Linked DNA regions of Macaca fascicularis. The protein of the gene in region 1 interacts with the protein of each later gene in a pairwise test. Links are inferred from orthologs where the notes say so. Each region holds a gene or a part of one and is shown on either strand. Other genes may lie near its edges.

What was found.
Region 2: the proteins of PSMG2 (region 1) and PSMG1 interact in binary tests that used the Homo sapiens proteins (3 or more experiments, as listed by UniProt). The link is inferred for Macaca fascicularis from reciprocal best matches to the Homo sapiens genes PSMG2 and PSMG1.

What each region holds. Positions count from the first base shown.
Region 1 is NC_088392.1:80,765,616-80,772,417, forward strand, and holds part of PSMG2 (proteasome assembly chaperone 2), read left to right. Parts: intron 1-2,041; coding exon 2,042-2,213; intron 2,214-4,219; exon of another isoform or gene 4,220-4,976; coding exon of another isoform or gene 4,977-5,085; intron 5,086-6,802. UniProt on the Homo sapiens protein: Chaperone protein which promotes assembly of the 20S proteasome as part of a heterodimer with PSMG1.
Region 2 is NC_088377.1:7,819,282-7,826,183, forward strand, and holds the start of PSMG1 (proteasome assembly chaperone 1), read left to right. Parts: upstream 1-2,798; 5' UTR 2,799-2,829; coding exon 2,830-2,963; exon of another isoform or gene 2,964-3,151; intron 3,152-4,330; coding exon 4,331-4,437; intron 4,438-5,773; coding exon 5,774-5,925; intron 5,926-6,218; coding exon 6,219-6,281; intron 6,282-6,902. UniProt on the Homo sapiens protein: Chaperone protein which promotes assembly of the 20S proteasome as part of a heterodimer with PSMG2.

The DNA of each region.
Region 1 (6,802 bases):
AATAAAAATTAGCCAGGTGTGGTGGCCTGCACTTGTATCTCAGCTACTCAGGAAGCTGAGGTGGGAGGATCACTTGAGCCCAGGAGGCAGAGGCTGCAGTGAGCTGAAATCATGCCACTGCACTCCAGGCTGGGTGACAGAGTGAGACCCTGTCTCAGAAAAAAAATTTTTTTAATAAGAGATAAAGTTTCTGCTTATGTTTTTGTGGGTGACTTGGAGAATTTTTGCTATATAGAGACACAAGAAATGAGGCTGAGCTAGAGGGCTATGTGGGGTCAAGATCTTCTAGAATGAAAGATATTAGAGCATGTTTATGTACTGATGGACATAATACAATAGTGAGGAAGAGAAGGATGGTACAGAGTTTAACCCAAGTGTCAAAATTGTTGAGAAGGGAATTACAGGAGGTGACTAGGCAATTGGTAGGTGACAACAGTGAGAAGTGGAGAACATGCTGAGGGAACACCCTGAAGGACAGAAACCAAAGGAATTGTTGGAAGAATGCAGAGGAGGAGCTACATTAAAAGGATACTTTGGGGATAACCTCAATAAAAATTAGGCATGTATTAGATGTAGTTGGTAAGGGAATGGGAAAAAGTTTAGGTAGAGTGAATAATGTTGAACTTTTTTTTTTTTTTAATTTGAGACGGAGTTTCGCTTTTTTTTTTGCCTAGGCTGGAGTGCCATGGTGCGATCTCGGCTCACTGCAACCTCCGCCTCCTGGGTTCAAGTGATTCTCCTGCCTCAGCCTCCTGAGTAGCTGGGATTACAGGCATGCGCCACCACACCTGGCTAATTTTGTATTTTTAGTAGAGACAGGGTTTTACCATGTAGGCCAGTCTGGTCTTGAACTCCTGACCTCAGGTGATCTGCCCGCCTCAGCCTCCCAAAGTGCTGGGATTACAGGCATGAGCCACCATGCCCAGCGCACTTTTCTAAAATACAAAATATGGAGACAAATTTGGGCAGAAGTTTATAGTTTTGGACTTGCAGAATGTGAGTTTCCTGTGACCTAACCATGTGGAGACATCATTAGGTTGTGGAGCTCCTACATGTTGTGGGATGTAGGTAGGGATTTGGCAGCTTTATTATTTTAAGTCACGGGAAAAAGAGAGTTTGTGTGTGTGTTTAGTGTGAAAAGCTCACTTCAACGAATGAGTGAAGAGGCACTAATAAAGCAGATGGTAAGAAGACCCAAGAGAGCTTCTGTTCATACCTCGTAGTCTTTACACTTGCTTTCCCACTGCCTGGAATGGTCTTTCCCATTTCTCTGTATGGCTGTCTCCTTTACCTTTTTCAGGTCTCTAGTCTTTTGTCACCTAGGGTGAGTCTTTCCTCGATCTCTCTACTTAAAATTGAAATCAGCCGTGTACACACATCCTCGCACTTTGTCTCCGCAGCACTTACCACTGTATATTTTACTGTTTGTTTTATTGCAGGTAAACCACTCTGGCTCGAATGGAAGTTCCATGAGGGCGTGAACTTTTGTTGGTTTATTTTCCTGCGTTCCCAGTGCCTAGAGCAGCAATTGACATAGCTGACGTTCAATAAGTATTTGTTAAATCAATAGTCTCAAAGGTGGAGGAGGCCCCAGCAGTTGTAGTTAATGAAAATCAGTATCTAGCCATGATGCTATGACGCTTTCAGTACTAATACTATGACTGTTGTTTTCTGTCTAAACTTTTTGAAGTGCTGCAACCAGTCGTGTTGGCTCACGCCTGTAATCCCAGCACTTTGGGAGGCTGAGGCGGGTGGATCACCTGAGGTCAGGAGTTTCAGACCACCCTGGCCAACATGGTGAAACCCCGTCTCTACTAAAAATACAAAAATTAGCTGGGTGTGGTGGTGCACGCCTGTAATCCCAGCTACCCAGGAGGCTGAGGCAGGAGAATTGCTTCAAGCCGGGAGGAGGAGGCTGCAGTAAGCCGAGATGGTACCACTGCACTCCAGCCTGGGAGACAGAGGCAGACTCTGTCTCAAAAAATAAAATAAAGTGCTGCTAATTTTGGTGACTTACTGAACATATTTTTTATAATTTCAGCCAGCAGTATCTGTTGGAAATGTTGGCCAGCTTGCAATGGATCTGATTATTTCTACACTGAATATGTCTAAGATTGGTTACTTCTATACCGATTGTCTTGTGCCTATGGTTGGAAACAATCCATATGCGACTGCGGAAGGAAATTCAACAGAACTTAGTATAAATGCTGAAGGTATGTAAGACTTTACCTTGTATTGTTCTGCTACAAGGTAGAGTTGTTTTAGACTCTTAAAGTTAGAAATAGACTTTATTGATAATTGTTTTGTACCAAATGTTTACTTAGTGCCAACTTTGTGTAGAATTCACAACCCAATCACATTGTCCTATTCTTTTACATCCTGGTTTTAGTTGTTAGACTCTTGTAAATGGCAGCTCTTATGAAGGTTGAGAATAAGATCATACTTGTGTGTTTTTTTTTTTTTTTTTTTTTTTTTTTTTTTTAAGACGGAGTCTTGCTCTGTCACCCAGGCTGGAGTGCAGTGGTGTGATCTTGGCTCACTGCAAGCTCTGCCCCCCGGGTTCACGCCATTCTCCTGCCTCAGCCTCACGAGTAGCTGGGACTACAAACGCCTGCCACTGTGCCTGGCTAATTTTTTATATTTTTTTAGTAGAGATGGGGTTTCACCGTGTAAGCCAGGATGGTCTCAATATCTTGACATCGTGATCCACCCACCTCGGCCTCCCAAAGTGCTGGGATTACAGGCGTGAGCCACTGTGCCCAGCCCATACTTGTGTCTTTTATAGAATTTAAAATTTCCTTTTTTTTCAACATGGATTTTTTTCCTTCTATCCTCAGTTTTATTTCTTGTTCTTACTGGTATGTGTAACCATCACTAATAATATGGAAAGGCAAAAAGAAGATTGCATTGGACTCAGTCCTGTAGGTTTAACATATGTTACGTCAACTAAGCCTCATTCTCTTAGTCATCCTCTTCCAGTATAGGATTCGTAATAATATGGTATAGATAAGGCTCAAAGAGATTGACTTGCCTGATGCCACTAATAGGTGTAGGCTCTTCCCATACTGTAAATCTTTGTAATTCCTCATTGGACTATCAGGCTTGATTAATCAGGGAACACTGGTTATAATGCATCACAGCAGCTGGTGAGTAAGAGAAGAGCTCCTGTAGATCGTGAAGCATGGGAGCACCAGTTACTGCCTTTGATGGCTAACTGTTCTGGTGATCTTTCAGTCCTCTGTTTACCATTTTAAGGTCAAATCCAGAGGGATAGAAGAGCACAAAAGGCCTTTGGTGAATTGAAAGACAAATGAAGAAGCATTTTGGTTTTTGTGTCTTATTAACCATATCATTGTTCTTAGCTTACGATAATGAAATGTACATTTGAGAAATGACCTTATTATTGAACTCCCTACAGGACAGATGGCTTTGTCAACACAAGACTAAATTTTAGTTACTGCCTCAGAGGATAAAGGACTGTAAATGGTTAAAACCAGAATTCATGACTGGGTGCACTGGTGCACATCTGTAATCCCAACACTTTGAGAGGCTGAGGTAGGAGGAACACTTGAGCCCAGGAGTTTGAGACCAGCCTGGGCAACAAAATGAGACCCCATCTTTACAAAAAGAAAAAGTAAAAAATTAGCCAACCTGTAGTCCCAACCTCTTAGGAGGCTGACTTGGGAGGACTGTTGGAGCCTGGGAGGTTGTGGCTACAGTGAGCCATGATGATGCCACTGCACTCCAGCCTGGGTGACAAAGTGAGACCATATCTTAAAAAATGAAAGCCCCTAGAATTTGTATACTTTCCGCTAGTGATAACAGCTATCTTTTATTAAGTATTACTGTGAACTGAATGCCATGTACTTTTTTTTTTTTTTTTTTTGATACAGAGTTTTGCTCTTGTTGCACAGGTTGGAGTACAATGGTGCAATCTCAGCTCACCGCAACCTCCGTCTTCCAGGTTCAAGCAGTTCTCCTGCATCAGCCTCCCGAGTAGCTGGGATTACAGGCATGTGCTGCCACACCCAGCTAGTTTTGTGTTTTTAGTAGAGATGGAGTTTCTCCATGTTGGTCAGGCTGGTCTCGAACTCCTGAAATCAGGTGATCTGCCTGCCTTGGCCACTTAAAGTGCTGGGATTACAGGCATGAGCTGCCGCGCCCAGCCGCATTTACGTGTATTTCATTTAATCCTTACAACTGTTTTTTTTTTTTTAAGACGGAGTTTTGTTCTTGTTCCCCAGGCTGGAGTGCAATGGCACAATCTCGACTCACCGCCACCTCTGCCTCCTGGGTTCAAGTGATTCTCCTGCCTCAGCCTCCCCAGTAGCTGGGATTACAGGCATGTGCCACCACGCCCGGCCAATTTTTTTTTTTAGTAAAGACAGGGTTTCTCCATGTTTGTCAGGCTGGTCTCGAACTCCTGATCTCAGGTGATCTGCCCGCCTCGGCCTCCCAAAGTGCTAGGATTACAGGCATGAGCCACTGCATATGGCCTTACAACTATTTTGTAAGGTAGTTTTATATATGAGGAACTGTAACAAAATTATTTATTTATTAATATCTCCCTATATCTTACCCATATTAAAATTGGCCCAGTTTACCCCACAATGTTGCCCAAAGTTTAGTTTGTCCAAACCAGCACCTATAGTATGAGGAGACTTCAAAAAGTTTGTGAGAAAATGAACAAAAAGATAAAAACTATAAACTTTATTTCTGAACATCAGCTTCGTCAAGTTCAAGACACTTTTGTAAGCCATGATGGCAGCCATGTAGCCCATCCCTAAAGAACTGAGGGGCCTGGGAATTAAACCATGTCAGTGCAGTCTTTTTTACATTATTAATTGAAGAAAAATGGGTGCTCTTTGCAGATTTTTTAAGATTAGGAAACAAAAGAAGTCAGAAGCAGCCAAATCAGGACAAGGTGGAGGCGTAATGATTTCCCATTGAAACTTTGACAAAAGTGCCCTTGTTTGATGGGAGGAATGAGCAGCATCATTTTTCTGATGGACAAGGACTCTCGTGAATCTTTTCCAGTTGCTTTTCTGAGAAAGCTTTGGTTGACTTTCTCAAAACGCTGTCATGGTAAGCAGATGTTATCATTCTTTGGCCCCCCAGAAAGTCAACAAGCAGAATGCCTGGAGCGTCCCAAAAAACTGTTGCTATGACTTCTACTCTTGACTGGTTCACTTTTGTTTGGCTGAACCACTTCTGCCTTGGTAGCCATTGCTTTGAATGTGCTTTTTCATCAGGATTATACTGGTAAAGCCACGTTTCCGCCGGGCGTGGTGGCTCAAGCCTGTAATCCTTGCACTTTGGGAGGCCGAGACGGGCGGATCACGAGGTCAGGAGATCGAGACCATCCTGGCTAACCCGGTGAAACCCCGTCTCTACTAAAAAATATAAAAAACTAGCCGGGCGAGGTGGCGGGCGCCTGTAGTCCCAGCTACTCGGGAGGCTGAGGCAGGAGAATGGCGTAAACTCGGGAGGCGGAGCTTTCAGTGAGCTGAGATCCGGCCACTGCACTCCAGTCTGGGCGACAGAGCGAGACTCCGTCTCAAAAAAAAAAAAAAAAAAAAAAGCCACGTTTCATTAGCTACAGTTCCTTAAATATTTCAGGATCTTGGTATCACTTGTTTAAAATTGCCATTGAAAGCTGTGCTCTTGTCTGTAGCTGACGGGACACAATGGTTTTGGTGCTCATCGAGTGGAAAGTTTGCTCAACTTTAATTGTTCAGTCAGAATTGTGTAAGGTGAACCAATTGAGATGTCTGTGGTGTTGAAGGTTGTTTCTGCTGTTAATCGTCAGTCCTCTTCAATTAGGGCACAAATAGGATGAATTTTTCCTCAAATTGAGGTAGATGGTCTGCTGCTGTGGGCTTCATCTTTAACATTATCTCGTCCCTTAAGATGAGTTACCCATTTATAAACTGCTTATTTCTTTGGGGCATTGTCCCCATAAATCTTTTTTTTTTTTTTTTCGAGTCAGAGTTTTGCTCTTGTCACTCAGGCTGGAGTGCAATGGCATGACCTCAGCTCACTTCTACCTTCGCCTCCCAAGTTGAAGCAATTCTCTTGCTTCAGCCTCCTGAGTAGCTGTGATTACAGGAGCCTACCAGTATGCCTGGCTAATTTTTGTATTTTTAGTAGAGATGGGGTTTCTTCCCCCCAACCCCCAGAGGGAGTCTCCCTCTGGATGCTCAGGCTGGAGTGTACTGGTGCAGTCTCAGCTCACTGCATCCTCCGCCTCCTGGGTTCAAGGGATTCTCCTGCCTCAGCCTCCCAAGTAGTTGGGATTACAGGCGCCTGCCACCACGCCCAGCTAATTCTTGTGTTTTTAGTAGAGATGGGGTTTCACCATGTTGGCCAGGCTAGTCTCAGTCTCCTGACCTTGTGATCTGCCCGCCTAGGCCTCCCAAAGTGCTGGGATCACAGGTGTGAGGAGCAACTGCACCTGGCCCCCATAAACTTTTTTATTTTATTTATTTTATTTATTTATTTATTTATTTTTTTTGAGACAGAGTCTCGCTCTGTTGCCCAGGCTGGAGTATAATGGCACGATCTCAGCCCACTGCAACCTCCACCTCCCAGGTTCAAGCAATTCTCCTGCCTCAGCCTCCTTAGTAGCTAGGATTACAGATGCATGTATGACCACACCCAGCTAATTTTTTGTATTTTTAGTAGAGATGCGGTTTCACCGTGTTAGCCAGGATGGTCTCAGTCTCCTGACCTTGTGATCTGCCTGCCTCGGCCTCCCAAAGTGCTGGGATCACAGGGGTGAGCCACCATGCCCGGCCTATTT
Region 2 (6,902 bases), on another chromosome or scaffold:
CCTTATTTTTACTTTTATGTAGCAGCATTTACAGAAATGCCAAAAATGTGCCTCATTAAGAGGCAGGTCTTAGTTTAATCAGATAAAAATAAAATATATAGCTTAAGATCAAAACAGTCATATTTTTAGATACAGTGAAATCTTTTATGTTTCTCTACAGCACCTTAAAAATTAGAACTTGAATACTTTGAGTACTTATTACAGTCTCATCCCAACAAACTTTAATGGTAGCATGTTTGGCCTATTTCATCGTGGCCTCTGCTAGGATTAGAAAATCTGGTCGTGGTATAACAAGTGTATTTACAATAGGATTTAATTTGTTGTTAATATGTGTTTGTTGAAATTAAAATTGCCAGATTAAATGAATGTACTGTCACATCTTTTTAACATAGTAACGTGTTATTGGAAAAATTAAGTTGTTGAAAGTAAGTTGTTTTCCCACTTAAAAATATCTAAGTATATGATCTGCATGTGTAAATCTGAAAAACTAAATTACAGAAATCTAGGGTTTTCTATTTTTTAAGTCAAATGCATTTTTTTTTGTTGTTATACAGATGAACCAAGTGTCCAAAATACTTGAGAAATTTGTGGTTGCATGTCTGTTTTAAAAAAAGGCTTTTGTTTTTTAGCATAAGCCAGAATATTCTAACCTACTAAGTCTGTGTCCTTTGCTCCTTTTGTAGTATACTTTCATCTAAACTACTGATCCCCAGTATGTTGATGCACAGGTGAGAAGGGAAGAATTCCTAATAAACTGCTATTACTTTTAGGTGCATGGGTTTTGATTTTTGAGTTCTAATGAAATGCTTAAACTTCTTTCCAGTTCAAAATTTACTTAATTTACATTTCTTGAGTCTATTATGTCCTCAACAAATAACTATAAAATGAAGTACTTAACTCTCAGTGAAGACTATTTTATGCAAAGGTTTTTTTTTTTTTTTTTTTTTTGGCAATTTCAGTGTAACGAAAGAATTTAAGCTTTTAATTTATAATTTGCTGTGGTGGGGTTAATTTCTGTCAGTATTTGAGACTGTATTATCAGTCTTGCATAATGGAATCCTTTTTTGGCTAAGTATTTAATTCGAAGATATTTGCCTTTTTAAAAAGTGGCCTAACTTATTGTAACTGCATGAAATAAGCATTTGCTTAAAACTTAACATTGTAAAATTGTTCTCTCTGAAATGTGTGCAGAATTTAAATCATGGCCAAATATATTACTATTACTCTATTTACAGTAATTTGCTTTGCAGAAAATATTTCTTCATAATGGAACTGTGAAATCAAATTGAAGATCTTTACTGGTAAAAATGACAAATTAACAAAAGGACTAAGACAAGTGGTGCCCAAACAACCTTTTTATTCTGCAGTTCCATCATTATAATAGACCAATTAACCCAGGAGTCCTAATGTTTTAAAACATCATTTTGGTAATCTTGTTTATTCCATCTCACTAAGGATATCCAAAGTTTCCTAAGCTCTTACTGGCTAGCAATTTAGTCTTAATTTTATTGCTAAATGTTCAAATTTTGCTTCCAAACTCACACTTTTTTTTTTTTTTTTGCAGATGTGTAGATCTGCTAAACACTAATTTTATGTAAATGATTTTGTTGATCATTATTTTTCCACATCTTAAAATGTTTCTAGCAGCTTTGAGATTTTATCTCAACAGGCTCTCTCTGACCCCAAAGTAGTACTTACCTTTGTGACTACTGACAAAGTCACAACATGCAGGCGATGTCATGTATTTCCGTACAACTAAATCTAGGAAACAGTTTTTATTTTTCATTGCATTACTGCATATTTTCATTTTCATTTAAATTATGTCCCCTTTTTCTCTTGCTTGAAACAGTGCTCCTCGAACTTTGTCTTCCAGCACATTTGAAAGAGAACCAATTAATCACACATTTTGCTTAATTAAAGGCTATTTAAAAAGAAACATTTTGTATTAGAAAATGGCCAAGTTTAAAAAATACACTATTTTTTACATTCTCATAAAAATGTTTTTAAAATCGGCTTGACAATCATCAGCTTTTGAAATGTGAATACCTATTGCCAGAGTAAAAGTCTCATTTTTATACCACCACGAAGCGCTGTATTTCTTGCTGCCCTTGCGTCCGCCCGTGCCCGCTATCAGAGGGCGCGCCTGGCTCCGGGGGCCCTCAGTGCCACCGCGCGGCCACCTACCTGGGCAGTCGAAATTTGGAGCGGGTGCCCTAAGGTTCCCCCAGTCTCTCCTATCGCAGAAGGAAAAGGGAAAGGCCTCACAGCTCCCAGACGCCACCGCCAGCGGCGCCGGCGCCGCCCCTGCATCCCTGGTTTCGCTACCGCCGCGACTGGAGGCCCCGCCCTCCTCTCGCCCCCCTGCCCCTCTAGCCCGCAGTCCTCCCACCTCTCGACGCCCGCAGGGCTCAAGCTGCGAATGAAAGCATTTGGGGGCCGGACGCGGTGGCTCACGCCTGTATCCACGCACTTTGGGAGGTCAAAGCAGGAGTATCGCTTGAGCCCAGTAGTTCGAGACCAGTCTGGGCAACACAGCGAGACCCCCAACCCCACAATCTGTAATTTAAAAACAAACTGCGGGTAATCCTGGCCCAAGGCGTGGCAGCGCGGGCGAGCACTGTAGAGGGCGTGGCCGCAAGCTCTTGATGCGTCTGGGGGCGTGGCGCCCGCGCCGTGGGGTTGTGGCCGCGAGCTCGGGCTGTGCGCGGAGGGCGTGGCCTGTGCGGGGCGGGACTTATTGCCTGCGCGGTGAGGGAGCTTGGTCTCGCGCATGCTGGCGTGCGCCGTCCCGCGGCGCCGCAGTTGTGTCCAGCCGGTCCCGGGTCGGCTATGGCGGCCACGTTCTTCGGAGAGGTGGTGAAGGCGCCATGCCGAGCTGGGACGGAGGACGAGGAGGAGGAGGAGGAGGGGCGGAGGGAGACGCCCGAGGACAGGGAGGTGCGTCAACAGCTGGCGCGGAAGAGGTGAGGCACCCGGATAAGGGAGGCGCGCTCTCCGCTGCTGGAAAGTGCGCGGGCCTCGCAGCGGCGACGGCACCGAAGGCCGGGGCTCCGCGGTCTTCCGAGTAATCCCCGCGGTTGCCGCCGCTCCGTGGCTCTGCTTGGGCCCTGGGTCTCCGTGAAGCCGCGGAGTCCGTCGGCGCCAGCCCCAGGTGGGTGCGGTGCTCGGGTGGATCCGCTGGCGTTTCGTGGAGTCCAGGGTGAAGCCGCTGTGGGAGGGCTGGGTTCAAAACCGTTCTTTAAAGGCTTCCTGGAGGCTTGGTGTCTTGAGGACTCGTGATCTTCCCGCTTCTTGTCACATTATCTTGGGCCGCAGCGCTCCCGCGGGTCCCACGACGTTTGTCGTGGATTGCTCCTTTGAGGGACGCACCGATTCCCTCAAAACTTTTTAAACCTCCACCCCACACTTCAATTAGCATAATATTTCAGTAGCAGATGAACACTCTTTAAAAAAATTGTTTCCAAACACATAAAAATGTGGGAGAAAATAGTCAAGTGAGCCCTGACCCCTAACACAACCAGGTAAATTCAACGGGAAGATTTTGCCACGTTTATTTCCTCTCTCGCCACTCTAAGCGAATTCCAGTCATCATGACCTTTCACAAATTCTGCATTTTTCAGAATACATCTCAAACGTTTTAGGGATTTTCTTACATACGCTATTATCACCTCTAACAACACTAATACTAACTTTTCAGTATGATTTCATAGTCCATGCTCACTCACGTTTACCTAGTTTTTTCAAACATGATATTTTACAGTGGTTTGTGTGAATGAGGATCCTAACAGGGTCTACAGGTTACATTTAGACGTGTCACTTCATTTAGAGCAGCCTTCTCTTAGCCCTCCTAAGAGACAGGACTGGCTGACCTGTCCAGTGCCCCACACTCTGAATTTGTCTGATAGCTTCCTTGTGGTATCACTTAACGTGTGTTTCACCTGCATGTCCTGTAAATGAATGTTCATTTGTAGGTTTGGTCAGATTCACATTCAATGTTTTGTCGGCAAGAATGCTTCTACTAAGTGGTGCTTTCTGTTTCTTGTTGCAGGCTATCTCCAAGTTGTCTCACTTTTAGGGATCTAAGATTGATCCTTGGGTCAGGTGGACAGCCTGACCACTATTTTAGAGTTCTCCCTAAACACGTATGCAATAGTTTTATCTGTTGGTTATCGTTGCCTGAGTCCATCGTTTTCTGACGATATTAGTTATATTCTTTATAAAACTAACGTGCATTTTATTTATTGTAATACATACATATAGTGCCCTTTTGCCATAATATGATACTGTTTGTATTGAAGTTGCTTTAGTTTCATCTTGTTTCTTGTGTTAGGGAGGTGCGGCTCCTTCGAAGACAAACAAAAACATCTTTGGAAGTTTCTTTGCTAGAAAAATATCCGTGCTCCAAGTTTATAATTGCTATAGGAAATAATGCAGTAGGTAAGTGAAAATGCAGAAGACTTAGTCATTTTGTTGAAAGAATGAAATATAACGTTACTTATATTCTTCTATCATAAAAGATTTAAAATGTTTGGTACTTTAAAAAGCCACAGCAGAGTGTATTTCTGAGTAAAATCTCTCTCCTGTTCATGTTGCATCTTTTTTTTTTTTTTTGGTAGAGATGGTTTCTCGCTGTGTTGTCCAGGCTGGTCTTGCACTCCTGTCCTCAAGTGATCCTCCTGCTCTCAACTTCCCAAAGAGCTGGGATTACAGGTGTGAGCCACAGCACCTGGCCTGCATTATCTTTTTAATAAACTGAAAAGGTCAGATTTAGGCTGGGTGCAGTGGCTCACATCTGTAGCCCCAGCTCTTTGGGAGGCCAAGGCAGGAGGATCACTTGAGGCCAGGATTTGAGACCAGCCTGGGCAACATAGCGAGACGCTGTCTCTACAAAAAAATGAAAAAATATAGCCAGACATGGTGGTGCTTGCCTGTAGTCCTGGCTACTGAGGAGCCTGAAATGGGGGGATTGCTTGAGCCCACGATTTTGAGGCTGCAGTGAGCCATGATCCTCCCACTGATCATGCTCCAGCTTGGGTGACAAAGCAAGACCCCAACTCAGAGAAAAGCTTTAAAGAAAATGTTTTTAGCCTCAGGAACTCAAAACTCAAGGAGCTGTTTCTAGTGTGTTGACGTATCTGGATTTATATAAATGTTTGTGAGTTAATGGACTCCTTTGAGAACACAATGAAAACTCTAAAGACAGTAATAATTATCAACATGTTTAAGTACTTAAGTTCTAAGGTCCTTGCATGTATTAATTCGCTTGGTGGATTAAAGTAAAAACAGTGTAGAGTGCAGCTAGGACAATATACATGTACAAATACACACATATACCTTAATATTTTTAGGGTGTTCACAGGTTCTGATGAGAACATTCAGGAAACCCAGTTAAGATTCCTTCCTCTGTAAGGTACCCCTAGTGCTTGTAGAACATAGTAAGTGCATGATGGCAAGTAACTATGGACTCATTTATATAAAGTTCTGCTGGCCTAAAGGTTTTCAGAAGAGTATTACCCCATGAGCACGTGGTAGAAAGTCTGTCAGCAAACCTGCCTTCTTGATCCCTAGCTCTAGGATTGTCTTAATCAGGGTGTGGCCTTTTACTTCTTGGGAGCCTCAGTTTCTTTTTCTGTGTAATGGTGGTATTAGGTAGATGGTCTTGAATGGCTCTTACAGCTCTCAAATTCTACAGTAACTTGAGCTTGCTTTTTATTGAATAGAAGATACAGCTTGCAGAGCCAAACACTAACTTATGTGAATTGTTTTTTTACAGCATTTCTGTCATCATTTGTTATGAATTCAGGAGTCTGGGAAGAAGTTGGTTGTGCTAAACTCTGGAATGAATGGTGTAGAACAGCAGACACTACACATCTATCCTCCACAGAGGCTTTTTGTGGGTTTTATCATCTCAAATCCAATCCCTCGGTAGGTGGGACTTGTGTGTTCGAAAAGTAGTTATTTAAGTATCACTTATATGGTATTTACTGGTAGTATACTTTAGTATGGCAAGTCTTTCAGTTGCTCTGTCAGTGTGCACTTTTTCTGATACTAATCACCAGTAGTGGTTTGACTCTTAAATTTTAAAGAGAGTAGGTCAATAGTGGAGCCAGGAAAATAAGTATTACCTAAGTGTTGTCATTCACATGTTACATATATGGTGATAGTTTGGGATGTGTGTAAAACTTACTTGACAAAAAACGTGGAACTTGACTTTTCAGGTTTTCCTCTGTCAATGCAGTTGCTACGTTGCAGAAGATCAGCAGTATCAGTGGCTGGAAAAGGTAAGAGAGAAACGAAAACCTGTGAATGGTTAGTCTACAGGAGTTTTCATTTTTTATGGGTTCGGTGTCTTTTAACTTAAACTTATGCAGTCAGATATTTATTTCTTTAAAATATTGTGGGAATTTCTTTTGGAATATAAAGAATAAAAGAACTTGCTTATTTAACGTGACCAACCAATTGTGTTTTATACTTCTGTGACCTACCATCCTCAATGCTGAGGTACAGAAGTATAAAACACAGTTAGTCCTCAGCATTGAGGACGGTAGGTCACAGAAGTATAAAACACAATTGGATTCCTCCCGCCCATCTTTCTTTGTTTACATCACTTTAGATCTTATTAAAAGGTAAAGGGGTTCTTAGAAATCTATCAAATCCAGACTCTTCCTGTTATAGAAGAGGACAGTTAGAACCACCGTCATTGAAACTTACCTGTAAGTGTAGTAATTCCAAAAATGAATTTCATAAGAGTTATTTTTCAGGTGTCAGTGATAGGTGGGAGAGGGAATGAATGTCAGGTGTGTACTTGTGACTTTTTTCCTCTGGACAGCAGGCCTGTAGTCACTATTCTGGCACCCTGACTTCATTTACTCCACATCACAGGCCCCTTAAGTAGGCAGTGC